Canis lupus familiaris: one gene and its partners. The protein of the gene in region 4 interacts with the protein of the main gene of each other region in a pairwise test. Links are inferred from orthologs where the notes say so. Each region holds a gene or a part of one and is shown on either strand. Other genes may lie near its edges.

Region 1 (3,500 bases), on a different chromosome or scaffold from region 4:
AGTTGGGCCTCAGGGGGAGCAGACTCTGGGGTGGAGGAGGTGAGGTCAGGGAGGTTGGGAATGGGGTTAGGGCCTGACCGTGGTCTTTCTGCCTGGAGTTGGGCTGGAAAGGTGCACAGCAGTACGCTCGACGTTCCAGTTAACTGTCTCCATTCCCCACTCTGTTTCCCAGATCCTGATGTCCTGGACACATGGTTCTCTTCGGCTCTTTTCCCCTTTGCTGCCTTGGGCTGGCCCCAAGAGGTGAGGCGGGTTGAGAGGAAGAGGGTGAAGATGGGGATGATGAAGGAGATGAAGGAGGCAGTAGCGCCCCCCTACCCCCACCCCTGCAGTGAGCCTCAAGAGCTGCAGGTATAGGGCTTAGGCTTCTCACTGCTTCTCTTTTTCCTCCTAGACCCCAGACCTTGCTCGTTTCTACCCCCTGTCACTTTTGGAAACAGGCAGTGATCTCCTGTTGTTCTGGGTGGGCCGCATGGTCATGTTGGGGACACAGCTCACAGGGCAGCTCCCCTTCACCAAGGTAATGGCCCTTAGGTGCCTAGCCCATCTTTGACTCCCCAGTTTTCCCTAAATCTTGGTCTCTGTTCGAACCCCTAATGTGCTATTGTCTGTGGTCCCAATTCCTTTTTCCTGATTCATTTCCTGTCCTAACCCCTGACACATGGAGGCCAGAGAGCCCCTGGGCACCTCCTAGGATAGGCTCCCCTAACCCCTCTACCAACTCCCTCTGTGCCCCCCAGGTGCTTCTTCATTCCATGGTTCGGGACGGGCAGGGCCGGAAGATGAGCAAGTCCCTGGGGAATGTATTGGACCCACGAGACATCATCAGTGGGGTGGAACTGCAGGTCAGGATGAAGAGTCTGGCGAAGGATGGGGTTTGTGGGGCAGAAGAAGGGAGCCTGAGCAGAGGAGCCGGCTGGGAGGGAGAGTGAGCGGGTAGGACCCTTGAAGGGGCAGGGTCTTTGACCGAGGCCACTGAAGTGCTTACCCATCCCAGGTGCTGCAGGAAAAGCTGAAGGACGGGAACTTGGACTCCACAGAGCTGGCGATTGCGGCTGCGGCACAGGTGAGTCCCCAGCATCTGCCTCTCTCAGCCTCAAGCTGGCGGCTGCTGGGTTTCCTTTGCAGCCCAGGCTTCTGTCCCTGCAGCTGTGTAGGCATCTGCCACCCCTCTTATCCCTCTGGTTGCAGAGGAAGGACTTCCCTCATGGGATCCCTGAGTGTGGGACAGATGCCCTGCGATTTGCCCTGTGCTCCCACAGGGCCTTGGGTAAGCCTGGGCAAGGGAGGGGCTGGCATTGTAGGCACCCCTGTAGAGGGGTGGGGCAGGGTCAAGGGCTCCCTGTGCTCCTGCCACCGATGTGCACACTCCTCCTCCCACTCCCTACCAGGGGGCGATGTACACTTGTCCGTCTCTGAGGTCTTGAGTTCCCGGCATTTCTGCAACAAAATCTGGAATGCCCTGCGTTTTATCCTCAATGCCTTAGGAGAGGGATTTGTACCGCAGCCTGCAGAGGAGGTAAGAGAATAAGAAAAGAGGCTTGGGAGGCAGAATCATTAGTTCTCTGAGGGTTGAAGATGACATTTGGAGGAGGAGGAGGAGGAGTGATCCTGTCCTGAAGCCGTCTTCCCCCCGCAGCTATCCCCCTCATCCCCCACGGACGCCTGGATCCTGAGCCGTCTGGCCCACACTGCCCAGGAGTGTGAGCGAGCCTTCCTTGCTCGGGAGCTGCCACTCATCACCCATGCCCTCCACCACTTCTGGCTCCACAGCCTCTGTGATGTCTACTTGGTGAGTTAGACTGGAATATGGCATTCCACTCCTGCATGCCTGCCTCCTCTTCCCCTTGAGATTGGATTTTCTGGCAGAGAGTTCAGTCTCTTTTTGTTTTAAATGTTAAATAGCATTACAGAATCATTATTTTTTTTAAAGATTTTTTATTTATTTATTTGAGAGAGACATGTGCAAGGGGAGGGGCAGAGGGAGAGGGGGCAGCATGCTCCTGAGCAGGGATCCCATGTGAGGCTCCATCCCAGGACCCTGGGATCATGACCTGAGTTACCCAGGAGCCGCTCTTTTTTTTTTTTTTTAAGACACATTTATTCAGCGTCATGATCAGACTATTACATTTAGCAATCAACAGCATGGGTGCGAAAAAAGAAAACTACATTAAAACTCTTTACACTTTAGAACAGAAACTAAGATAATGTGTTATGCAATTAGTCACAAATACGATCCTCAAGTTTTTTGCCCATACCCACAAGTATGTCTAAAACGTGTCTTCTTTGTAGCAACCAGGCCCTGCCACTGCTGTGCTCGGCTGAGTTCACAAATGTGCTGTAAACTGTAGCTCCCTGTCACTTCTCTGGCTCTCCTCCCTTGCTAAGCTTTGTTTCCTGGCAGTAATTAAAACCTTCTACCACTGCCATAGCTGTTGCTGCTGGAACAGGCATAGATAGCCACCTTGGTTTCGTGGTTTGGCAAAGTATTGGCCTCCACCACCATAAGGGCCAGAGCTTCTGCCTCCAAAATTTCCTCCTTTCATGGGTCCAAAATTTGAGGATTGATTGTTGTAATTGCCAAAATCATTATAGCTTCTGCCACCTCCGAAGTTGCTTCTGTCATTACCAAATCCGTTATAGCCATTCCCACTGCCACCGTATCCACCACCACCTCGACTGCCACCGAAGCCACTGAAGTTCCCTCCACGACCAAAGTTGTCATTCCTACCAAAACCACCTTCACGGCCACCACTGAAGTTTCCAGAACCACTTCGGCCTCTTTGGCTGGATGAAGCACTAGCCATCTCTTGCTTCGATAGGGCTTTCCTTCACAGTTGTGGCCATTCACAATATGGTGTTTTTGAGTGACAGTCTTGTGTACAGAGTCATGATTATCCAATGTCACAAAAGCAAAACCTCTGTTGTTGCCACTGCCTCGGTCAGTCATGATCTCAATCACTTCAATTTTCCCATACTGTTTAAAATAATCTTAGATGATGTTCTTCAGTGTCTTCTCTACTGCCACCAATAGAAATCTTTTTCACAGTTACGTGGGCACCAGGTCTTTGAGAATCTCTTGAGACAGCCCTCTTTGGTTCCACAACTCTTCCATCCACCTTGTGTGGCCTTGCATTCATGGCTGCATCCACCTCCTCCAGGGTGGCATATGTGACAAACCGAAAGCCTCTGGAGCACTGGTGTTTGGATCTCTCATTACCACACAGTCCGTAATCGTTCCCCATTGCTCAGAATGGCTCCTCAGACTCTCATCGGTTGTTTCAAAGCTCAAACCTCTGATGAAGAGCTTCTGCAGCTGCTCAGGCTCTTTGGGAGACTCTGACTTAGACATGATGGTGGTGGGAGGGGAGACTAACGATGCTTACTCAGCGGCGTCCGGGGGCGGAAAGGACTCTGTCTCTTTTTAATAGGCAAAAAATTCAGTGCTTTTTTTTCTTTCTAAAGTATACAAACCAGTTTTATTCCCTCTTCCCACCTCT
Region 2 (3,500 bases), on a different chromosome or scaffold from region 4:
ACACACACTTTTATGTATGCTTTGTCTGACCTTGAACTGACTTTTATGGTCCAGTTGCTAAACATTCAAATTGCTTAAATATTCACATATTAAGTCAACACTTTTTTTCTTAGGAATTAAAGAGTTCAATCATACCTAGATCCCAAGTATACATATTAAACAACTTATTAAACGCAATTTTACATCCGAAATTGTTTTCTAGAGGTGGTTTATTTATTTATCTTTTTATCATATTAAGAGCAAATACATTTTTTGTTCATATTTTGAAAGAATATTAGACACTTTGCCAATTAGGCTGAGTCACAGGAGAGCAGATCGAAAAAGTAAGAAATGTATCTTATCCTGTTGTGAGATCAGTCTTCTGTCTTTGCTCTCTGTTTCTCCATATCTAACATAGTACCTGAAAAAGTAGTTATTCAGTAAATGCTTCTGGTATGAATGATATGATTGTATGCATTTGAATGAATAAAGTCAATTTAATTCTCTCTTACATTCCCCCCAGATTCCCAGGAAGGAAATTACAAGTCAGAAGTCAATAGCAAACCCAGGAAGGAAAGGACAGCTTTTACCAAAGAGCAAATCAGAGAACTTGAAGCAGAATTTGCCCATCATAATTATCTGACCAGACTGAGGCGATATGAGATAGCAGTGAATCTGGATCTCACTGAAAGACAGGTAAAGTTGGACATTGTTGTGATATGGTATTTTTAATTGTGTTGAGTCAACAATCTTCTCTCGCCATTTTTGAAATATCTAGATCTGTGGTTCTTAAATGCCATTTGTAAGATAGGTGTTCTGTTCCATGATGAAGTTTTGGCACGGCAAAATGGCAAAATTAAGGATAAGATAGCAGTGTTTTTAAGGAAAACTACATTTATTCAGTTTAAGGTATCATTCTTTATTCTGTATTTGTGTCCTTCCTATATATTTTGGTTTAAAATAGTATTTCTTGTATATAATGATGGCATATAGTGAGCAATTCTTTTTTGCTTATATTTTAAAATCTCCTTATTTTGGTATAATAGAAAGCCAGCAACCCCATATTAGTTTCCTCTATTGCTCAGGACAGGGTTTGCTATGTTGCTGTAACACATTAACCCCCGGACCTCCATGACATAACAAAAAAGTTCACTATTTGCTCACTCTCCATACTAACTTTACAAGTTCAGCATTATAAACAATCAGTCACTCACGGACCCAGGCTGACTCTCTGGCATCTCAACATGTGGTGTCCTTGGTAACCACAGGAGGTAAGAAAGAGGTGGAGGTTCATGCACTGACCTTTAAATGTTTTCACCCGGAAATGACCCATGTCACTTCCATTTATACTCCAAGGTCCGGAAATCATCCGTGGTGCCACTTAAGTTCAAGGGGGGCTGGGAAATGATGGGAGCAAGGGCCCATAGGTCTTTCGTAAATATTTCCCAAATATTTTTGAACTGATATTGGTCTCAAAAATTTAAATTTCTGACATTGACTCATTTAGAGAACACTTTGCAATTATGAACGATCTGTGGACTCCAGTTGATAAAACCTAAAAGGTCCTTTCTTGGATTTTACTTGCTCCAGTAGTGCTCCCAGTGCATTCTTTTTATGGATTCTGATTTGCCCTGGGAGAATCTAGCTTACTGATGGTTAACAGTTGCTAATCTTTAGGAAAACATTCCTGAAAGGCAAATCCAAACATCTTTATGGACAGTGCAGTTATGATTGGCACTCCTAGGACTAGAGTCTCATTTCCTTTCACTGTATGCACCTCCTCCAGGGATCCCATCAGAACCAAAGAAATACCAACAGGGTGTGGACGTATGAATACTATCTTAGGAGAGCAAGTTATTTTATCCAGTTTCTTAAATCATCTGCTTTCCTTCTGTTAATTTCTGGATTTCAGCTTTTGTAGGGTATTTCTGGGGATTGGGAATATAGAGAGAGACACTTTTATGTGGTTTTATTTATTGGCAGTTTATATTTTATTAAATATTATGACTAGTGCCTAAGTTGTGAAGCACAACATTTTCTTTCCCTTGAACTTCACAGACAAACTCCTCTCCATAAGTGTACAACATTTGGCATGCTGGAAAGGAGAATCCAAAATCTACATTATTGGACATCTGTTTTATTTTCATTTTTTTTAAACTGGGAGCAGATAAAAAAAGAAGGGAGGGAAAGAATTACATATTTTAATGTTCTTATCCATAGACAGTGAATTCTAGGAAATGCAACCATGTTTTCTATGGTACAAAAAGGAAACAAGCTAAGACTTGTTTCCAAGCTATAGAAATAATGGGATGCAGTACTATACTCTTAGCCAAGAGGGAATGTGAAGATTCTGTGCTTGCTATTCTGGGGATGGCTTTGGTTACCTGTGATTATCTGATTATAAAGCAGAAGTTTCCCTTATGGTTTAAAATAATTTCTTTTAGAAAAGCAATTCTATAAATTTGGTCTGGCAATTTTTTAGGTATTTTGGATATGTCTTCCTGAGTTGTCATTTATGGAAAAGGATGATATGTAATTTTAAGCAAAATACACACACATACAATTCTAATCTTTGTTTTTGTTTATCAAAGGTCCCTTTTCAATTTTGTTATCAGTTAGCCTTGACTATGTAACAAACATTCAAAAATCATAGTGGTTTCAACTAATAACCGACATTCAATTTGCTCACAGTTTTGTGGGTCGGGGATTTTGACTGGGCTCAGTTGGATGGTTAAGCTGCTTACCTTACCTAAATCTCCCATAGAGCTGTAGTCACGTGGCGGGTTTGGGTTTGAAGAGCTGGTTGGTTTAAATAGTCTCAGCTGGGACATTTGTCTCTGTTGTATGTGGTTTCATTTTCTTCTAATAGGCTCTCTGAGACTTTTCAAATGGGGATAGAAGCATTGTCAGGAATAGAAGAAAAACTCCAATGGACCAAGGCTTTCAAGGACTCTCGTTATCTCATATTTACTGATGACTCATTGTCTAAAGCAAGTCATATGACCAAGCACAGTGTCAATGTAGAAGGAGACCATTTAAGGAATGGATATATGGAAGGAAGGTGACATTTGCTGGAGGCCGTTACCGAAATGATCTAACTATAGTGTCATAGGGGAAAAAACAAACAAACAAATCTTGAGATATAATTGGATTTTGAAAGAATTGAAATTTTATATCGTGAAGATTTTTTTATCCTATAAATCTTTATTTCCAGTTTTTCAGATTAATATGAAAAGGAGATGCATACATGTGGAATCTAAATTCCTAGTCAAAGTTAAGTCTTCAGAGGGCCACTATGTGACAGTGAGAAAAATTGAATTATTATGATAAAAATTTGAATAGAACAACTAGATTTTCCATTGGAATTTGGATTCTTAGGCAAGTAACAATCTCCCTAAGTCACAAAATGGAAATTAAAGCTAACTTCTCTTGCTTCTACTCAGGTTTATGTGTTATAATGAATATGAAAGAATTTCTAGCATAAACTGAAAAACACAACTGTCAATCAGAGGAAGGAAAAC
Region 3 (3,954 bases), on a different chromosome or scaffold from region 4:
TACCTACTGACCCCTGGTTTGGGGCTTGGCCCAAAGTTAGGTCCAGAGGTACAAAAATATGAGATCCATTGTCATAGCTGTCTGCTTATTCATCATGCAGATTACCTTGTCTGTAAACTCAATGGACTCTGACAGAGAGAACTCTGAAGTCAACCCCAGCCTGCCTCCCCCCATTCCCCATGGGCTTCCTGCACCTGACTGGGGTGAAGGGAGGGGCTGAGGGAAGGACAGGGGGCGTGGGAACCAGGCCTTCTTTAACGGTAGTTCTGAGAAGTCATCCAAACCCTTTGAAAGCATTTGCTCCCCAGACTGAGATCCTCCCCTGAGAGGCCAGGAAAGGTAACTAAGGTCAATTAATTAGTGTTCTGCATGAAGGAAGCAGGAGCCCGGGGACTCTGACCTGGGGCAGGGCTTTTGGTGATTTTGCAAGGGCAGCTTCACCTCACTAGAATTGACTTTCATTATCTTTCATCCTTCCGACAAATGATGATGATGATAGTAATGGTCATAGTTTCCATGTATCCTGCCCTTCCTAAGTGACAGGCACTGGGCTAAGTGCTTTAACACATTTTCACATTTAACCCACGTGACCATGGTAAAGAGAGAGGTGTAAGAATCAGAGAGTCAGCTTGCCATGGGTCCTGTAGTTGGTTGGTGGCAGAGATGGAAATTGGACTGGGTCTTTGTAATCCTAAATCCTGTGTGCACACACTGTGTATGCAACAAAGGAGAACCCATCTGGAAGAGCCTGGAGCTGTGCAGAGTTTACCCAAGAAATGGACAGAACTGCTTCTCTCCTTGTCTGTAGAAGGCTACCTTCCAGCACCACGAGAACCGGGCTGGTTTACAAGCCATAGTCCATCTCATCTGTAAGCTGGTCGGTCATTCAGCATCTACACCAACAGCAACTATTCAACTAGAGGTTTGGGGGTGGGCTCTTGAGTCAGAGTTCTGGGTTCAAATTCAGACTGCCACTAGCTTAGGGACCTTGGGAAAGTGAGTCAATCTTTCTGAACCCCGGCCTCCTGCTGTGGAATGGGAGTGCTTCTCCCCTCTCTGGCTTGGGGGAGGACTAAAAGAGGCCATGTGGGCAACAAGCCTGCCCAAAGGAAGGGTGCAGAGTGTTCTCACTGGTCTCATCACTGACTCCCTTTAATCTGCCATTTTCCCATAAGCACTTGCTACTTTCATTTTTTTTTTTTTTTCAACACTCTTACTGAGCCAGGAGGTCCCCCGGGGCCTGTCAGTGCAAATAAACTGTCTTTAAGTCATACGGCATGTCAGGCAAGAGGTAAAGAGAAGGAGAGGAGAGAACCGGCTTCGGAAGTCAGGAGGCTGATGCTCAGCTTTGCTACATCCAAGCCATGTGACCTTGGACAGTCACCTTGCCTCCCTGCGCTGCTGGTTCTTCATCTATGAAAGAGGAATAATAATACTTGTCTCATAAGGTGCTTACGAGGATTAATGGGAAAAACAACAACAACAAAAAAAACAGGTGCTCAATTGTTGTTGAGTTTCCCTCCCCACTCTTCCCTTGATCTGGGAATCTATGTTCATGGTCCTGAAACCGCTACACAATTTAGGAAAGTTCTAAAAAGTCTCAGTTGTCGGGGCATCTGGGTGGCTCAGTCCTTAAACATCTGCCTTTGGCTTGGGTCGTGGTCCTGGGGTCCTGGGGTCCTGGAATCGAGTCCCCGTCGGGCTCCCCACGGGGAGCCTGCTTCTCCCTCTGCCTATGTCCCTGACTCTCTCTGTGTGTCCTTCATGAATAAATAAATAAATAAAATATTTTAAATAATAATAATAATAATAATAATAATAATAAAGCACAGCTGTCATCTTTTTGCTGGTAGACAGCTCCCAGCAGTCACGTTGTCCATCCCCCTGCCTCTGTGCCTGACCCAGCTTAGTCTGATGTCTGTCCACTCTCGCTCAAATATCAGGGAAAGGAATCTCCCCCTGTCAAGTTCATGACACTGTCCAGGAAGTTCAGAAGGCCCACCTAGAGTCGGCCTGCAGATGCAGTAATGATGCCACTATTTGTTTGGGGACAAGTCTGGATCTGAGCAGGACCTGGGAGGGAGACAAAGATAGAGTGAGGAGCGCTAACGGGATAGAGGTGTGAGGCTCCAGGAGAGGCAGTGGGGCACGGTAGGGCTGGGTGGCACGGGGTCAGGGCTGAAGTTTGAGGGGAACAGAATGAAGCCGAGGCCTGGGGTGGAGGATTTCCCATCCGCACCCGGGCCGAGCACCTGTCAGGGTGGCTCCCGCAGTCCTGCCTTGGAGGTGGGCTCTGGGCCTCTCGGGGCGGTGGTGGGAGGCAAGGGTGTCGGGGCCTGTGCCCACTCCGCCTACCTGCACATAATTGTCCACGCAGTAGTCCGCGACCCGCAGCAGGGAGCTGTGGTTGCCCCGCAGAGCCTCCCGGCCCGTGGGGATCTCGAACTCCTGTAGCTGCTGCAGCTCTGCCATGGCCCCCAGCCTCTGGCTGGCTCCCCAGGGAGCCCGCTGATTTTGTGCCTCACCCAGCCGTTGATTGGTCGCTCTGCCTTACCCCCGCCTCACTGCTTTTGGTTTCCTCTCCGTGAGAGACCCAAACCTGCTTGCAAAGGGCAGGCAGGCTCATTCCGGGACAAGAGGAAGTCAGTCCCTGCCCCGAGGGCCTGTGCCTCTCTGCCCCCGGCCCAGAGGAAGGGGGAAGCCAGGGGCGCCTCTGGGGGCCCAGCCCCCCAATCCCTCCCAGCAGAGGAAGCCAAGGTCGGGGCGCTGTGATTGCTCATGGGCCTGGAAAGGAAACTGTTGGGGGGGGTTGGGGGGGGGAGACAGAGGAGGAAGGGGACTGGCCTGCTCTGGGTGGGGGGTGGGGGTGGATTTTCCACTCATGGAAGGGGAGGAAAGGGCAGAGGGTGGGGGCTTCCTTGGGAAGCTCAGGGATGAGTCACCAAGGGCCTGGGGAGTGGAAGGTGGGTAGGATGTGGAGACCAGTCATGCTGGGGGCTGTAGGGCGGCGCAGAAACAATGGAAACCAGCCAATTCAGCAGCAAGAGGAATCAGCTCAGACACCAGGAAGACATCCAGAGGTCCCCTGAGAAGTGTAACCAAGCCTCTGAAGGGTTCCATGTAAAGAAGCCCTAGTCTACAAGCTCTGTGCCTGATGGAGGTAAGACCAGCTGTAGCATGTGGGATTCCGATTAGACAATAGGAAGGAATTGGCTTTGAGAAACACCACATTCAAGTTTCTGATTAACTCGTTGGTTTTAGGAAGCAGCAGTGCATGGAGCACCAAGCTGTTCTCAAAAGGTATGTGCTCTATGTCCTGTATTCATAGGCAGTTGGCCTAGAGACTTCCAGGCTCTTGTCCTGATCCTAAAGTCTTAGCACTCCTGGCTGTGAGTGGGACTCAGACCCCAGAGCAAGGCAGTCAGGATGGACTCCAGGCCTCCTTTCAGCCAGACAAAAAGAGGATCCTTTATTGACCATATTGATTATCTTAAGCATTTGCTTCTCGAGAGGGTCCCCTTGTCATGGGACAGGTGTCAGCCTGAGCAAGAGCTCAGTATCTATTAAACAGCACAGCCCTTGGATGGTCCTGGAAGGAGACCAAGAGAAATTTCAGGATGCAGGCCCTGTGCTCAGCAACTGGTGAGGGAGACCCACACTCAAGGCTCAGAAGGAGGCATGGAAGCCAAGAAGCATGGACATGGGCATTAGAGGTGGCCATGGCCCCACGTGTTGATGGCACAGCATCCTAAGTGAGGAGTCCGTTTTTATTGAGTAAGCAAAGGAAGACTGAGCTTAGGAGAACCTTGCACGGTGTAATCGTGGGGCTCCGATGGGAGACACAATGGCTTCTTGGGTGAGGGAAGTTAGGAGCTGGTCCAGGACTTGAGTCACTGAGAAGGCCAATCTCAGAGCTGACTCAGAGGTAACGGAGGGGAGGGCTTAGAAGAGAAG
Region 4 (3,500 bases):
CACATTTCCCTGTTCAGAAAGTCATCTTTTGATCATTTGGCTTAATTAAAATTGGGTATATCATGTACTTACCCTGACTCACATACTACCTCCACTATGATGCTTAATCTGTGAATTGATTAAAGTCTCTATAAAACTAGCACAGTGCCTGGCTTGTGCTAAACTAGAACAGTGAGATCAGATCGCCTTCTGTCTTTATCTAAAAGGCACAAGCTTCTAGCATAGAATTTATGTATTTATAAAATGTAATAGAAGCTTGAAACTAAACACTGTTTTAAGGAAAACCTGAAGCCCTCAGGAGAGAGTTGAATGTTCATAACTTCTATGTACGATTACACATGGTTGAGGTGTCCTCATGCACTAGGACCAGTAACTGTTGTGACAGCAACAGTGATGCCAGTGCTCTAGGCCTTGCTTCTGTGTGGAGGACCTGTCAAGCAGTACCTGTTTAACCTGGTTCTTTTTTCAGAGCCATACACAGCAACCAACTTGGATAATAATATGGAGGATCCCAAGGTTAGGTTATATCCATCTTGTTCAGTCCTGTGAAAACAGTCATGATTTGAGAATTGAGCAGTCACATGATTACTTAAAATTACCCAAAATGATGTTTTGTGCTGTTTAGAACATTATGTTATTAGGGCAGGTCATCTGTGACATTAGGGTTTGTGATGATGTGTTTCTGAGAAGTCTAGTGGAGGAAATAATTTTAAGTTCCATGTCCTCCTCCCCACCCCTTGACCCTCTTGTGGCCATGATTCTGAAAATCATATGTAGCCTGAGGTTGAATCAGAGATCAATCTTTCTGTGTCTCCCTGAAAGTTCATCCCACCAGCGCTTCCAGGGTCTCCTCCAGGGCATCAGGTCCTGGGGTTAGCATGGATATAAGATGGAGGCTTTTCCCTCAAAGATTTGGTTCTCTTTGGTCTGTTTGGGACAGAGGGATACATAAATACAAACTGAATACAGTTGTCTCTTAGTTGTCTCTTGATTCTTGCATGGCAGCAATGACTGGTGGGGATGAGCCCCACAGTGCTTTTACAGAGTTAAATGTCCTCAGATTCCCATTTCCCTGGGATGTCATTGGTTTTATGGAATTTTTACTTGTTTTATGAGATTTGCACACTTTGGATTAAATGTTTGTAAAGTCAGCCTATAGACAGTGGCTGAAATCCTTGTTAATTTTGTACCCATGGGCAGGACGCAAAGCTGGATGGGTCCTCAGCAGCAGGAAGTTGCTGGATGTTGAGAAGTGCTGAACCTGCTTTATGAATTCAGTTAAGAACTGTAGTGGGCTCCCACCATCTGTACGGCTGTCTGTGGAATATAGCAGTGGAGAGGATGTGGTCTGGCTGGCCTAATGCATAGTGAAGGGATAGGACATACGTGTAAAGTATTTTTACAGAGCAGTTACTAGACTACACTCTGCTCCTGCCACTGGAAGCTGTTAGCCTCATGCAATATGGCAAGCCAGGGAGGGGAAGAACTTATCTTGATTGAAAGAGAGGATGAGGTGGCTTCTTCAGGTGGAAAACCTTTCAGCTGAGCCTTGCAGGAATGGTCATCCAAGGTGAGGGGCAAGATGGTTCAAAGAACAACAGGAACAGGAGTGAGAATGGAACTGGAGGTGGGACACACTTTCTGTCTCATTGATTAGAACTGTCAGGCAGGGGCCTGGTGGCACACCCTGAAGAGCCACTGCGTGCGGTTGGCTTTTCTTCTGGAGCCACTGAGTGGGGCCAGCCTCCTTCCACTTCCGCATCAACTCTGCTGGCTCGTCAGTGCCTCAGAAGGAGCAGGACCAATTTTAATAAAAATAATGATATTAAAGTTTATTCAAATATAAGTAGGCATGGACGTAATCACAAATTCAAACACTACTCAACAGAATCTGTGCTTAAACCATGGTTCAGCTGCCCCCCCTGGGATATTTCAAACCATGCTTAACATGCAGCCAGAGTTTTCAACTGCTCTTAAAGTATTTATTTTTAAATAGCTTAGAGTTAGGAAATTTTTGATGGCTTCATTTCTAGTAGAACAAGGGAAATTTCTAGCTGCTGCCTATATGCAAATCACTTTTTTAAAACTACCAGTTGATCAGGAGTAGGTTGGGAAATTTAAAACTTTAAGTTTCTTCAGCATCAGGTTAACACCAGTATCCTACATGCCGTGGAGTCCCCAGTGTTCGAATAACTAAGATACATGGGGCACAGAAGCTGTCCTAAGCAAGAGGCAATTTTTCTTGGATGCAGGACACGCGGAGCCTGGGGCGGCCTCGGGCGAGTGTGCGCGTCCGTGCACTTCCCCGCGTGCCCTGCGCGGCCCTGCTGACTCGTGTTCTCTCTCCTTCCCCAGCCCAGTGACTTCTCCGTGTCTCTGAAAGCATCAGGGAAGAACAAACATTTCAAGGTGCAGCTCGTGGACAATGTCTACTGCATCGGGCAGCGGCGGTTTCACACCATGGACGAGTTGGTGGAACACTACAAAAAGGCGCCCATCTTCACCAGTGAGCACGGGGAGAAGCTCTACCTCGTCCGAGCGCTGCAGTGACGGCCCCGGCCCCTGCCGCCTGCGGGCCTCGGTGCCACACTCGCTCCCCGGAGCCGGAGCCGGAGCCGCGATCCGGGAGGAAGCCGCGCTCAGCTGGGCCCCGGGCCCTCCTGCAGCGGCCTCGCTGCCACCGACCGGCGCCTCGTCGGTCCTTGGCTTCCTTTGCCTCGTTGACCTGGGCGTCGGGGCGGTCTGTTTGCCGCGCGCCTCCCCTTTGCCAGGCCGGGCCCTGACACCCACTTTCCGGCCCGCCCCCCACTCCCGCCCGGGCTTAGAGAACGGCAGGTGGAAGAGGGGAGGTTGGTTCACTTCATTCCTGCTCCTCCGCTGAGAACAGCCTTAGCCTGTTCACATGGTTCGTGCAGACACAACCCCTCGTTAAAAAGGTTAAAAAGACATCGGGCACAGCTTGAACGCACTGCGGCTGCCGTGGTCAACTAAGAACTCCAGGACCGCTCGGAAAGCGGGGGCGGGAGCTCTGCAGAGGCCCCCGGCCCTGGGCCTGGCAGCCGCGCTCTGTGCCCTCTGCCCTCACCTGGCTCCCAGACTGTCCAGGGAGTGGACGCGCCTGCTGGTAGCAGCACCGGCACCACCAGATGAGAGAGTAGTGGGGAAAGTCCAGTGCCTTCGGGGCTATGCTTGCAATAAAAGGATTTCCTTGAAAGTCAGTCTGCAGAAGCGAGACCCGTGACTCAGAAAGACAGACGTTGTGGTCATTTACCCCCAGATGTGCCATCCGCATAGTGCTTTTTCCTCTCGCCCTTTGGCTTGTTTCAATTTCACAATTATGTATTTAATTCTCAAAGTAATATGTATCCGTAGCCATTTGTTGACACTAATACAGATGATTAAGGAAAACAGCTGATCTTTGGGGAAGGGGAGCTACCGTACACTTTACACACACACACGCAGCCACACCATATATATATATATATTATATTATACATATA
Region 5 (3,182 bases), on a different chromosome or scaffold from region 4:
AGGCAGAATGGCTTTACTACCTTTTCTCTTAACCATAAGCCATTGCTTCTCTTTAGTCAACTCCCTGGGCATTACCACATGGACAGCCAGGCTCCTTAAAAACAATATTACTTAAAAAGATTTACAGTATTTCCCTTCATCTGGATGCTCTTCCTCTATTTTCTATCCTGATGAATACCACTATTATTCATCCAGTAAGCAGAATTATTAAATGTCAGGCATTATTCTAAGGATTTTAAATGTATTAACTCATTTAATCTTTTACTAAACCCCAGGAGTTGGATTATATCCCTATTAAAAATGAAGAAAATGATGTAAAAAGAGCTGAAATAACTTGTCCAAAATCACATAGTTAATAAATTGCAGACTTCTAAGATTTTGGCCTTTCTTCTGTTCCTCAAGTCCAGATTTCTGAGTATATGTGAATATAAATCAGGGGTTCTGTGCTCTGCTGTCAGTCTGTTTCTCCAGGGTTATCTGTTCTACTGTCCCAGAAATTAGAGTGTTGTCACTTTTCAGAGCATGCCAAGCCATGCTGTCATCTTTGCCTTTTGCCTTTATTTTAGCTGTTCATGCGATTTAAACAAACATACATAAACAAAATGTTCTTTCCCCTCCACTTTCTGCCTGAAAAATATGTATCTTTCAAGACTAAGTGCAAGGATTATTTCAAATCTGAAACCTTTCTTGCCTTTCCTTACCCTCTTCTTCAGGTGTTATTTACTAACTTTTTTTTATTATGCCCTTCTCATGTTGTTAGATAGTGTTTTCATTATGGCACTATAATATTTTATTTATATATTCATTATTTTTCTTTACTTTCTATAAGCCTCTCATAGTTATGCCATAATTATCTTCATGGTTCCAGCATCTAGGGCATTTTAATACATACCTGTTAAATGAATGCAGATGAATAATGATTGAAGTCTTATAAGGCCCATGACATTTTCTAGATTTGACAGGGTAACCTGGTTCACCTTTCTCTAATTTAAAGTTCATTTAGTGTGTGGGGGGTCCATAACACAATACCACAGATTGGGTGGTTTAAACAACATAAATTTATTTTCTTCTGATTTTGGAGGCTAGAAGTCCAAGATCAAGGTAAGTCAGATTTGGCTTCTCAGGTTTGGGGTTTTCCCTTGCTGCCTTCTCACTCTGTCCTCACACGGCCTTTATTCTGTGTGTTCATATCCTTAGTATCTCTTCATCTTCTTATAAGGACACCACTAACAATGGATTAGGGCCCATCTGTACAATATCATTGAAGCTTAATTACCTCTGAAAGACCCTATCTCCAAATATAGTAACATTCTAAGATACTGGAGTTTAGGACTTCAACATGAACTTGGGGGTTGGAGGTAGGCACACAGTTCAATCCGTAACAGAATCCTAGAAGAAACTTGAATTTTGTGAGACTTAAGTTCTGCAAATCTTTTTTTTTTTTTTTTTTAAGATTTTATTTATTTAAAAGAAAGGGAGAGAGAAAACAAGCTGGAGGAGGAACAGAGAGAGAGAAGCAGGCTCCCTGCTGAACAGGGAGACCCAGTGCAGGGCTGGATTCTAGGCCCTCTGGGATCATGAGCTGAGTCAATGGCAGGCACCTAACCAACTGAGCCACCCAAGGGTCCCCCAAAATTCTGAAACATTTTAGCATAGCCTAGCTTTGAGGCCTCTTTGGGACTCTCAAGCAGGGTTTATGAGAATTCTGTTACAGCCAATAGAAATCTTAGAAGTATTAGCCCAATTGGAATATCATTGAAAATATTATGGACATTATTGATATAATAAAATTTTTGCCATAGGTGGAATTCTAATTTTTTCTCAATTGTATGTCTGTTTTAAAAGCATCTATTTAACTAATGGTAATTGTTAAAACTATCTGAGTAATTGTTCCACTTTTAGTCATTTTAAAAGTATCTCACCCTATTACTTTCCTTTTTTTCTTTTTAGGGCTCAAGAAACATATAAAAAACACTGTGAAGAAAAATTTGTTACTGACATGATCGCCTTTCAAAAAGCTTGTGAACAATTTCAAGATGCTAAAACAAAAGTTGCAATTATGAAAAAGAATTAGTCTTTCAAGTTCCCTGAAGAGTGACAAAATGAACCAATGCCACGTTACATCCGTGGTCATTTTGAATTATGGCTAATACGCTTAGTTAAAGGACTTTGAAATAATACTATGAAAGAAGAAATACTCCATGTAACTGGATGGATTTGTATATAAAGCTTCTGAAATATAGAGAATAATTAAAGTGTTTCTTTTGTTGTTCATAACGTAAATCAAGTTAACTTGGCACCCCCAAAGGTTCCTTATATATCCAGATGTCCAAAGAACAATTAAAACTTATTTCATTTATTGCAGGAAATAATGCAAAGGCATTATTTATATTGTTTAATATCCCAAGGATGGCAATCCTAAAGCAATTTTCAGTTTCTCTGGCAATCTTAGTGTAGTAATATCTGCCCCAGCTGCTGACTTTTATTAAGACACTGTGTACTTTGATTAGTTTCATTGCCTACTTTCATGTATTTAATTATATTTCTGTTTATTTTGTTAAAACAATTTCTGAATTTCTTATTTCAAAATAAGAGTTTTAACATTATATCAGTGATTCATATTCTTATAAGAATTCAGAAAATGTGAAATATAAAAGAGAAATTAAATATTCCTTTTGACTTCCTTGGAGATTGTTAGATTTTCATATATTTACTATTGATGTATTTGCCTTTTGCATACATTTGAGGGAAGAGAGGAGAGACAGAAAGAAGACACACAATTGTATAATTGTTATTATAAAGTATACAGAAATAGTATATATATTGATTTTTTCTCTTTAATACATATTCATAGTTTAAAATTAGGAAAATAGAGATAAAAAAGATATAAAATTCCTTTGTAAAGTGTAAGTTTATTTTCAGTAGTCTTTTCATTTATCTAGAGAAATAAATGCCTATGATTATGACATGCTCACTTGATACAGTGTAACTAATGCCATTCAAAATCTTTAATACTCATAAGTTATATATGGGCTAGTTTTTAAGTGTTTTTAAAATTCTATGATTATTAGTCTGTGGCAAATTTTCAAAAAGTAAGTATTTTACAATAGCAATTATTCAGTTGTGCTTCTATGCTGGATCGCTAAAAGAATGCTTATAGTGTTTTCCTAATTTTGGTAAAA
Region 6 (4,148 bases), on a different chromosome or scaffold from region 4:
AAGGCCTCTCAGCTCCCACAATCTCTGGCCTCCAGGATGAGCTATCCCATCTTCAGGAGCTTTTAAGGAAATGGACACCAAGAGTATCTCCTGAGGATCACTCCAAGAAAAGAGATCCAAATACCATTCTTTCCCAGTCCCGTTGAAATTGTTGTCTTTTTTATGGGCATGGCAGAGGGGGTCCGGGGTGAGGGAAGGTTCTGTCTAATCCTCCAATTTTTCTTATCTTGGTCTTGCTGTCTCAGCTTTTGACACTCCAGCCCTCAACAAGCTCACTGACCTTTCTGTTGCAGATGGGTGGTGCTAACCTTCTCCAACTCTTGCCCTGTCCTGTTTCATTCTCGAGATATGTTTCTCATGATTTGAGGAATTAAGAAACAAAAGCAATCCAGAATACGATTACCTTTGTTCTTTTCAGGGCAATTCCATCCCTCTGGATACCCAGCCGATAAGCTGTGAGATGAGAGATGCTGTTCATCAGTTCAAAGGAGATGGCCTACAGAACTCATTCTCACCTCCTCTTGCTGCTTAATTCCAATTTCTGTTTCTTCCCTCTGGTTTTCTATGGGTATGCTAGTGGGTATGGGACACATCCTGTCTCTCCCAATTGTATATTTTGTAGTGACATTTCTATTTAACGAGTTCATTAAAGTACAGTTGCTGGCATTATCTCTGGTGTCTGAATAAAAGATCCTAAGTAAAAAAGCGATGATAAACCGGGAGAAGAAGGGACCCACCATATTATTGTTCAGGAAATATGGAGATAGGTCAGGCTGTCCACACTAATCGTTTCGTAAGATGGGGCAAAGAGCATGCAAAGACATGGTTGGTGGGCCCGGGGTATTCTGGCGGTTGAAACTGAGGCCCCTGGGCTGCAATGTCAGGTACCCTCAGCTCTGGGCACACATCATCTCTGAGCCTCAGGTTTCCATCTCCCCCATGCAACAGGATCATGTGAGCTCCGACGCCACTCCAGCTCAGACACTCCGCAATCCTCTCCCCAGAAGCCGCGGGCCACGGTGGAGGGCTGCCTCCGCACCCTAAGGCAGCCGAATCCTTGGGTTGGAGGGTTTCCTCAGCACACCCTTCTCCGGGGAACAAAAGGATAGTTTGCCAACAAAATATTTCTAAATAAAGTTTTGTTCTTTTAGCTTTTGAGTTTACATTTTTAGGAGTACTGTGATCCTTTAACGTCCAGCACTGCCTTAAGAGGGTCTGGGCATTTCCGTTCGGCCCTCATCGCTTTGACCGCTAGCAGCGGCAAATCCGCGCAGAACCACGGACCGGAGAACGCGGCCCCACAAGCCGCATCAAGTCTCCGCAACTCCTAAGATGGCCGGGGCCTCTTCCGGCTCCTCCCCCATCAGGCCCCGCCCACCGCCCTCGTGACTACCTTCGCCCCGGAAGTGGAAGTACTGACTGAGGTCAGAGGGCGGGATCGCTGCCTGGAGACGGCGGGAGCTCTTTCGCCATGGCGGCCGGCCCGATCTCCGAGCGGAACCAGGGTAGTTGGAGGGGATGAGGCCAGGGAGGCTGGGAGGCCTCGAGGAAGGCCAGCCGTGTTTTCGCCGGGGCAGGAGATCGGATCCCCCCGGAGGGCGCGAACCCGGCCCCCGTGCCGGCTGGGGGTGGGGTGGCCGGGTGCAGGCTGAGGCCTGTGGTTGTGATGCTCTGTCCAATCTCCTGCGCCTTCCCATTCAAAAAAACAAAACAAAACAAAAACCCAAACGAAAACCAAAAACAAAGCAATTCACAGAGAATTTGCAGCAGAACCTTCAGTTAGACTTAAGAAGGTTCTTTAGTTCTGGAATGAGAGAGATGTAAGGGCTTACTCTCACGTCTTTTTCCTTTTTTGTTCCTATATCCCATCTCCACTCCCAGTTCCCCCGCCTGTCACTTCCTTCTTTCCCGTCGTTGTCTCATCCCTGCCATAATCTGCTCATTTCTCTTAGATGCCACTGTCTACGTCGGGGGACTGGATGAGAAGGTTAGCGAACCCCTGCTGTGGGAGCTTTTTCTCCAGGCAGGGCCAGTAGTCAACACCCACATGCCAAAGGATAGAGTCACAGGTCAGCACCAAGGTGAGTACATCACAAGAGGCGTGTTTATGCATTGAGGGGACAAGCTGCTCCTGGAGGGTTCCGGCAGTATTCATAGGCAGTATTCATAGCCGTTTTGGAATCACCTGTAGATTCTTCCTTTTAAGTGTCATTCAATGTTTGCTTCTGGAACCATTCCCAGTTGAAGTGAGGTGGTTATTTCATGTTCTTTGTGCTTTGGAAGGTGCATGAGTTACACACGAAATTGAATCACTTCACTTAAGTTAATCTCTGCTTTTCTACTTCCCAGGCTATGGCTTTGTGGAATTCCTGAGTGAGGAAGATGCTGACTATGCCATTAAGATCATGAACATGATCAAACTATATGGGAAGCCAATACGAGTGAACAAGGCATCGGCTCACAACAAGAACCTGGACGTGGGGGCCAACATTTTCATTGGCAATCTGGACCCAGAAATTGATGAGAAGCTGCTTTATGATACTTTCAGCGCCTTCGGGGTCATCTTACAAACCCCTAAGATTATGCGGGACCCTGATACAGGCAACTCCAAAGGTTATGCCTTTATTAATTTTGCTTCATTTGACGCTTCGGATGCAGCTATTGAGGCCATGAATGGGCAGTATCTCTGTAATCGCCCCATTACTGTGTCCTATGCCTTCAAGAAGGACTCGAAAGGGGAGCGCCACGGCTCAGCAGCTGAACGACTTCTAGCAGCCCAGAACCCACTCTCCCAGGCTGACCGCCCTCATCAGCTGTTTGCAGATGCACCCCCTCCGCCTTCAGCCCCCAATCCTGTCGTATCATCATTGGGGTCTGGGCTCCCGCCACCAGGTAAAGCTTTTATTCAAAGTATTTTTGTCTTGGGCTTGGGGTGTGGTGGTGAGCGGGGGCAAGGGGAGGAGAAAAGAACTTGATAAAGGGGGACATGGAGTCAGTAGGTGATGAGAAAGAGAGTGAGGGGTGACAGTTGTGGGGAGAAAGTTGTTGAGTTGAAGAGGCTGAAGTTGTTCCTAGTTATCTAGTATTGCTTCTGATTTTAGAGAGCTGGGAGGAAGGGAAGAGAACTTATCCTGCCTGAGGAGGCCAGATTGAACGGGCTTTCTAAAGACATTCTCTCCTTACTATCGTTAACTTGTCTTTCATTTCCTCTATAGGCATGCCTCCTCCTGGGTCCTTCCCACCCCCGGTGCCGCCTCCTGGAGCCCTTCCACCCGGGATACCCCCAGCCATGCCCCCGCCACCTATGCCTCCCGGTGCTGGAGGACACGGTCCACCATCAGCAGGAACCCCAGGGGCTGGACATCCTGGACATGGACACTCGCATCCTCACCCATTCCCACCAAGTGGGATGCCCCATCCAGGTGAGTGTTCTTTGCTGGGGAAAAGGATAGATAAGCTTGTTGGAGGAGCTCCACTGCCACATGCAGTGCTGCCCTCATCCCTCAGCAGTAATAGTAGATAGTCCCGGAGCTCTGCTTTTTTTTCAGACATTCTTTTATAAAAACAAACACGAGACACTGTTCTCTGTTTACTTTAACAGCTACCACCCTGTCTCCATTTATTATACAAGTTTTTCCAAAGAGTGTAACTGTACTCGTTTGCTTTTTCCTTTAACTTTTACTTCATTTTTCTCCTCCGACTTCTACCCCAAAGCAGTGACCTAATTGCCAAATAGAGGGGGCACTTCCATTCTTTACCTGGTTTGCCATTTGGTGTACTTGAAACTGGGTGTGTTGTCCTTTTTGAAAAGCTTGCCTCTTGGTGTTTCTGGATTTTTCATCTGTCTCAGACTCCTTAAAGTTAGCCACATTAGGGATCCCTGGGTGGCGCAGCGGTTTGGCGCCTGTCTTTGGCCCAGGGCGCGATCCTGGAGACCCGGGATCGAATCCCACATCGGGCTCCCGGTGCATGGAGCCTGCTTCTCCCTCTGCCTGTGTCTCTGCCTCTCTCTCTCTGTGTGACTATCGTAAATTAAAAAAAAAAAAAAAAAAAAAGTTAGCCACATTAGTAGGCTTTTCTCCCTCTCCATGTAGCTGGGTTTTTGTATCTGGTTCTCTTTTCTTTTTTTTTTTTTAATTTTTATTTAT
Region 7 (3,500 bases), on a different chromosome or scaffold from region 4:
CAGAATCTTGCACAGGGTATCAATTGATGGGCCCTAGTTAAGAGCCTCTGCCTTAGAGGTCTGGTAGGTTCTACTTACACCATCTCAGCATCATCTCATTCCATGCCATGCCCCACACATTTGCACACTCCTCCTCACCTGCTCTGAGCCTGTGCACAGTATAGGTATTAGCTATGGTACCAATCTGTGACCTAGTTATATTGATCCAAGATTTGTGGGAAATGATTGCTTTTCATTGTTGTTCCAGAGTGTTTCCATTGGATAGCCATGACCCTGAGGATTAATGGCTTCCTGGACAGCACAGGTCTTACTTGGTGTTCAAAAGATGACCATTAAGTGGACAGCCCATGCTTGACCCCACCTGAGGAGAGGGGGCCTCCTTTCCTCGCAGCCACCAAAGCCAGCAGTGCAGGAAGTCTGGAGGCAAATCTTCCAGAAATCTACTGGTTAAGAGTAGACTTCCCAGCCTTGGGCAACATCCTGTCTCAGACTTTTTGTTCTTCTTCTCCACAGTCCTCTTGTTGGCATCCTACCCTTGCTGCCTACCGGGTAATTGACTTTTTCCCGGCAGGTCGTCTTTCATGATTTCCTGAGTCACTCTCTTCAGCTTCTATTTATTTGACATTCAGAGCCATTTCCTATTTGGTAATGTTTGGGGCTTTCATGGGGTGGAACATGCCCATCAGTTCTCCTTCCTTGTGTTTTTATTCAGTGATGTCCTTTGTCCCATAGATTCTGGCTGTGACTCAGTCACTGACACAGAGACCGAGGACGAGAAGGCCCCTTCCTGCTTGAAGCAGCAGAGCCTGCCACTGCAGACTTCACCTGGGAACCTGATGGTGGTGCAGCCAGACCGCATTCGCTGTGGGGTAGGCACTCCTGGGGCTGGTGGATCAGTGTCAGAACACGGCCTTTTCAATGGATGCATTTGTTGCAGTAAAGGGGTGTAATCTCAGCCTTCCCTTGGGGATTTCATTGTCGATTAGCTGCTCTGGGAATCCCAGTACCTGAGCCTTGAGCACACCTCACTCCTTTAGGTAAGAGAGAAGCGAGCTCAGGAAAGTATGTGTCATCCATTTAAGACTTCATCTTTGTTTTTTATTTTTTTATTTTTTATTTTTATTTTTTTAAATTTATTTATGATAGTCATATAGAGGGAGAGAGAGAGGCAGAGACATAGGCAGAGGGAGAAGCAGGCTCCATGCACCTGGAGCCTGACGTGGGACCCAATCCCGGGTCTCCAGGATCGCGCCCTGGGCCAAAGGCAGGCGCCAAACCGCTGCACCACCCAGGAATCCCCATCTTTGTTTTTTAAAGATTATTAATTTATTTATGAGAGAGAGAGAGAAAGAGAGAGAGTAGAGTGAGTGAGAACACGGGTAGGGTAGGAGGGGCAGATGGAGAGGGAAAAGCAGACCTCTTACTGAGTGGAGAGCCCAACATGGGGCTTGATTCCAGGACCCTGAGATTATGACCTGAGCTTAAGGCATATGCTTAACCAACTGAGCCACCCAGGTGCCCCCTATCTAAGATTTTAAGTTCATAGATCAGAAACAGAGCATGTGGCAAACATGAGCATTACCAACCCTGGAGGTAGAGGCCTGGGTCTGTTCCTGCCAGCCTAGTGCTGAGAGGAAGTAGATAGAGGGGCATTTTGAGAGCTTGCTTCTCCATCAGTTGACCACTGCTGTACCTCAAATGAATGCCTTGAAGTTTGCTGGCTGAAACTCACCAATATTGGTTGTTAATTTTAGATAATTTTAAATATTTTTTTTTTAATTTTTATTTATTTATGATAGTCACAGAGAGAGAAAGAGAGGCAGAGACACAGGCAGAGAGAAGCAGGCTCCATGCACCAGGAGCCCGACGTGGGAATCGATCCCGGGTCTCCAGGATCGCGCCCTGGGCCAAAGGCAGGCGCCAAACCGCTGCGCCACCCAGGGATCCCAATTTTAGATAATTTTAAAGTTAAAAGCCAAAGCATAATGTGACTAACATTTTCAGGATGAGACCTATGTTAACAGGTGACTTGAATGTGATGGCCCAATTGATGGGCCACCATCATTTAAATCCTACCATAGAATTGGTAGATTTTCATTATCTTTCCTTTCCTGATGAAAAAAAATGTGTGATATTAGTTCAGAACAGCAAAACCCTTCCCTGTGGATACAAGCCCTATGCTGTTTGCCCCTATGGTGTCTGTGAGACAAGGGGTATGGGAGCCTTGGCAATGGGAAGTACTAGTACCTTGCACCTGTGCGTGGTTTCACATGCAGCCTGAGGCCACAAGGCATTGGGCAAGGACTCCCTCCATGGGGATTGCAGACAGCTGCTTTGGGATAGATCGAGCTCATAGATATGGTTGGTTTAGATTGTACAGTGTTTTAAAAATTAGGCATGAAAATCTATTCCCATCTTCGTTTTTGTTTTTGTTTTTTTTAAAGATTGTGTTTATTTATTCATGAGAGACACAGACACAGACACACACACACACACACACACACACAGAGGCAGAGACACAGGCAGAGGGAGAAGTAGGCTCCATGCAGGGAGCCTGATGTGGGACTTGATCCCAGGACTCCAGGATCATGCCCTGGGCTGAAGGCAGGCACTAAGCCGCTGAACCACCCAGGGGTCCCATCCCAGTTTCCCTTGAATCAGAATCTGATAATACCAGGCCTGAGGTGAGTGGCTGGGCCTAGCAACCCATTAGATGGGACATGAATTCCCTAGTTCATTGCTCCCATCACTCCCTGTTCTTATTTTCAGCCCACTTCATGCCCTCTCTTCATTGGTTAGGCCTTTGTGGGCATTTTAGTTTCCAGTCTCTCCATATGCCTTCCTGTCTTCCCCACATTCCTCTCATCCTAAGACCAGACTGGTGGGCACCGGTGGGTAGGGGCATTTGGAAACGAAGAATAGTACTCTAAACATTGCCTTTCTGATTCTCCAGACTTTCATTCTTTCTCCTGTCCTGGCTTCCAGATTCTCCCTGTGGCCTTCTCTAGGTCTCTGGATCCTGGGGCAGCCAGACTGGGGTTGGGTCCTATTGTCAATAGAGAGGACACATTCATTCTCTCTGACTCCCCATGCTGCCTGTGAGAAGGAGCAGGTGCGACAGGCCCGGGCCTGCAGCCGGAGTCAGGTCAGCCAAATACACATTCACATTTAACATCTTCCTCACCTGTTGTGAAATGGTGGCCCTTGTCGTGAAGGCCTACTATGAGGTCTTTATAAAAGAATTATAGGATGAACATTTGGGGATTAGCACTGACCAGAAGGGCTGCTCTTTGGACAACCTGTCATTACCTGTTCAAGTCTTAAGAGGCTCATCTTCTACTTAACCAGCACAATAAAATAAGATAATTGTATGTGGCAGACCTGGCAAAAAATCTTAAAGCCAGGTGAAATAGCTATTCAGATTATTCATGCCTGGGCAAAATCAGTCCTCCAATAAGGTATTTTGCCCATTCTAAAACAGCATGGGAAGCAGAACCCGA

The links.
Region 1: the proteins of NCK2 (region 4) and VARS2 interact in binary tests that used the Homo sapiens proteins (3 or more experiments, as listed by UniProt). The two-hybrid records come from large-scale screens. The link is inferred for Canis lupus familiaris from reciprocal best matches to the Homo sapiens genes NCK2 and VARS2.
Region 2: the proteins of NCK2 (region 4) and MEOX2 interact in binary tests that used the Homo sapiens proteins (3 or more experiments, as listed by UniProt). The two-hybrid records come from large-scale screens. The link is inferred for Canis lupus familiaris from reciprocal best matches to the Homo sapiens genes NCK2 and MEOX2.
Region 3: the proteins of NCK2 (region 4) and ABI3 interact in binary tests that used the Homo sapiens proteins (3 or more experiments, as listed by UniProt). The two-hybrid records come from large-scale screens. The link is inferred for Canis lupus familiaris from reciprocal best matches to the Homo sapiens genes NCK2 and ABI3.
Region 5: the proteins of NCK2 (region 4) and LRRIQ3 interact in binary tests that used the Homo sapiens proteins (3 or more experiments, as listed by UniProt). The two-hybrid records come from large-scale screens. The link is inferred for Canis lupus familiaris from reciprocal best matches to the Homo sapiens genes NCK2 and LRRIQ3.
Region 6: the proteins of NCK2 (region 4) and SF3B4 interact in binary tests that used the Homo sapiens proteins (3 or more experiments, as listed by UniProt). The two-hybrid records come from large-scale screens. The link is inferred for Canis lupus familiaris from reciprocal best matches to the Homo sapiens genes NCK2 and SF3B4.
Region 7: the proteins of NCK2 (region 4) and PIK3AP1 interact in binary tests that used the Homo sapiens proteins (3 or more experiments, as listed by UniProt). The two-hybrid records come from large-scale screens. The link is inferred for Canis lupus familiaris from reciprocal best matches to the Homo sapiens genes NCK2 and PIK3AP1.

What each region holds. Positions count from the first base shown.
Region 1 is NC_049233.1:828,461-831,960, forward strand, and holds part of VARS2 (valine--tRNA ligase, mitochondrial), read left to right. Parts: intron 1-172; coding exon 173-243; intron 244-394; coding exon 395-520; intron 521-740; coding exon 741-845; intron 846-997; coding exon 998-1,066; intron 1,067-1,149; coding exon 1,150-1,270; intron 1,271-1,391; coding exon 1,392-1,519; intron 1,520-1,639; coding exon 1,640-1,792; intron 1,793-3,500. UniProt on the Homo sapiens protein: Catalyzes the attachment of valine to tRNA(Val) in a two-step reaction: valine is first activated by ATP to form Val-AMP and then transferred to the acceptor end of tRNA(Val).
Region 2 is NC_049235.1:30,321,203-30,324,702, reverse strand, and holds part of MEOX2 (homeobox protein MOX-2), read left to right. Parts: intron 1-502; coding exon 503-675; intron 676-3,500. UniProt on the Homo sapiens protein: Mesodermal transcription factor that plays a key role in somitogenesis and somitogenesis and limb muscle differentiation. Required during limb development for normal appendicular muscle formation and for the normal regulation of myogenic genes.
Region 3 is NC_049230.1:25,325,778-25,329,731, reverse strand, and holds the start of ABI3 (ABI gene family member 3), read right to left. Parts: upstream 2,801-3,954; 5' UTR 2,473-2,800; coding exon 2,356-2,472; intron 1-2,355. UniProt on the Homo sapiens protein: May inhibit tumor metastasis. In vitro, reduces cell motility.
Region 4 is NC_049231.1:38,637,029-38,640,528, reverse strand, and holds part of NCK2 (cytoplasmic protein NCK2), read left to right. Parts: intron 1-2,355; coding exon 2,356-2,550; 3' UTR 2,551-3,500. UniProt on the Homo sapiens protein: Adapter protein which associates with tyrosine-phosphorylated growth factor receptors or their cellular substrates. Maintains low levels of EIF2S1 phosphorylation by promoting its dephosphorylation by PP1.
Region 5 is NC_049227.1:72,837,958-72,841,139, forward strand, and holds the end of LRRIQ3 (leucine-rich repeat and IQ domain-containing protein 3), read left to right. Parts: intron 1-1,950; coding exon 1,951-2,074; 3' UTR 2,075-2,682; downstream 2,683-3,182.
Region 6 is NC_049238.1:59,867,874-59,872,021, reverse strand, and holds the start of SF3B4 (splicing factor 3B subunit 4), read left to right. Parts: upstream 1-1,348; 5' UTR 1,349-1,471; coding exon 1,472-1,505; intron 1,506-1,952; coding exon 1,953-2,081; intron 2,082-2,349; coding exon 2,350-2,892; intron 2,893-3,215; coding exon 3,216-3,422; intron 3,423-4,148. Other genes in the region: MTMR11 (myotubularin-related protein 11), read left to right, coding at 1-146. UniProt on the Homo sapiens protein: Component of the 17S U2 SnRNP complex of the spliceosome, a large ribonucleoprotein complex that removes introns from transcribed pre-mRNAs.
Region 7 is NC_049249.1:10,216,540-10,220,039, reverse strand, and holds part of PIK3AP1 (phosphoinositide 3-kinase adapter protein 1), read left to right. Parts: intron 1-732; coding exon 733-869; intron 870-3,500. UniProt on the Homo sapiens protein: Signaling adapter that contributes to B-cell development by linking B-cell receptor (BCR) signaling to the phosphoinositide 3-kinase (PI3K)-Akt signaling pathway.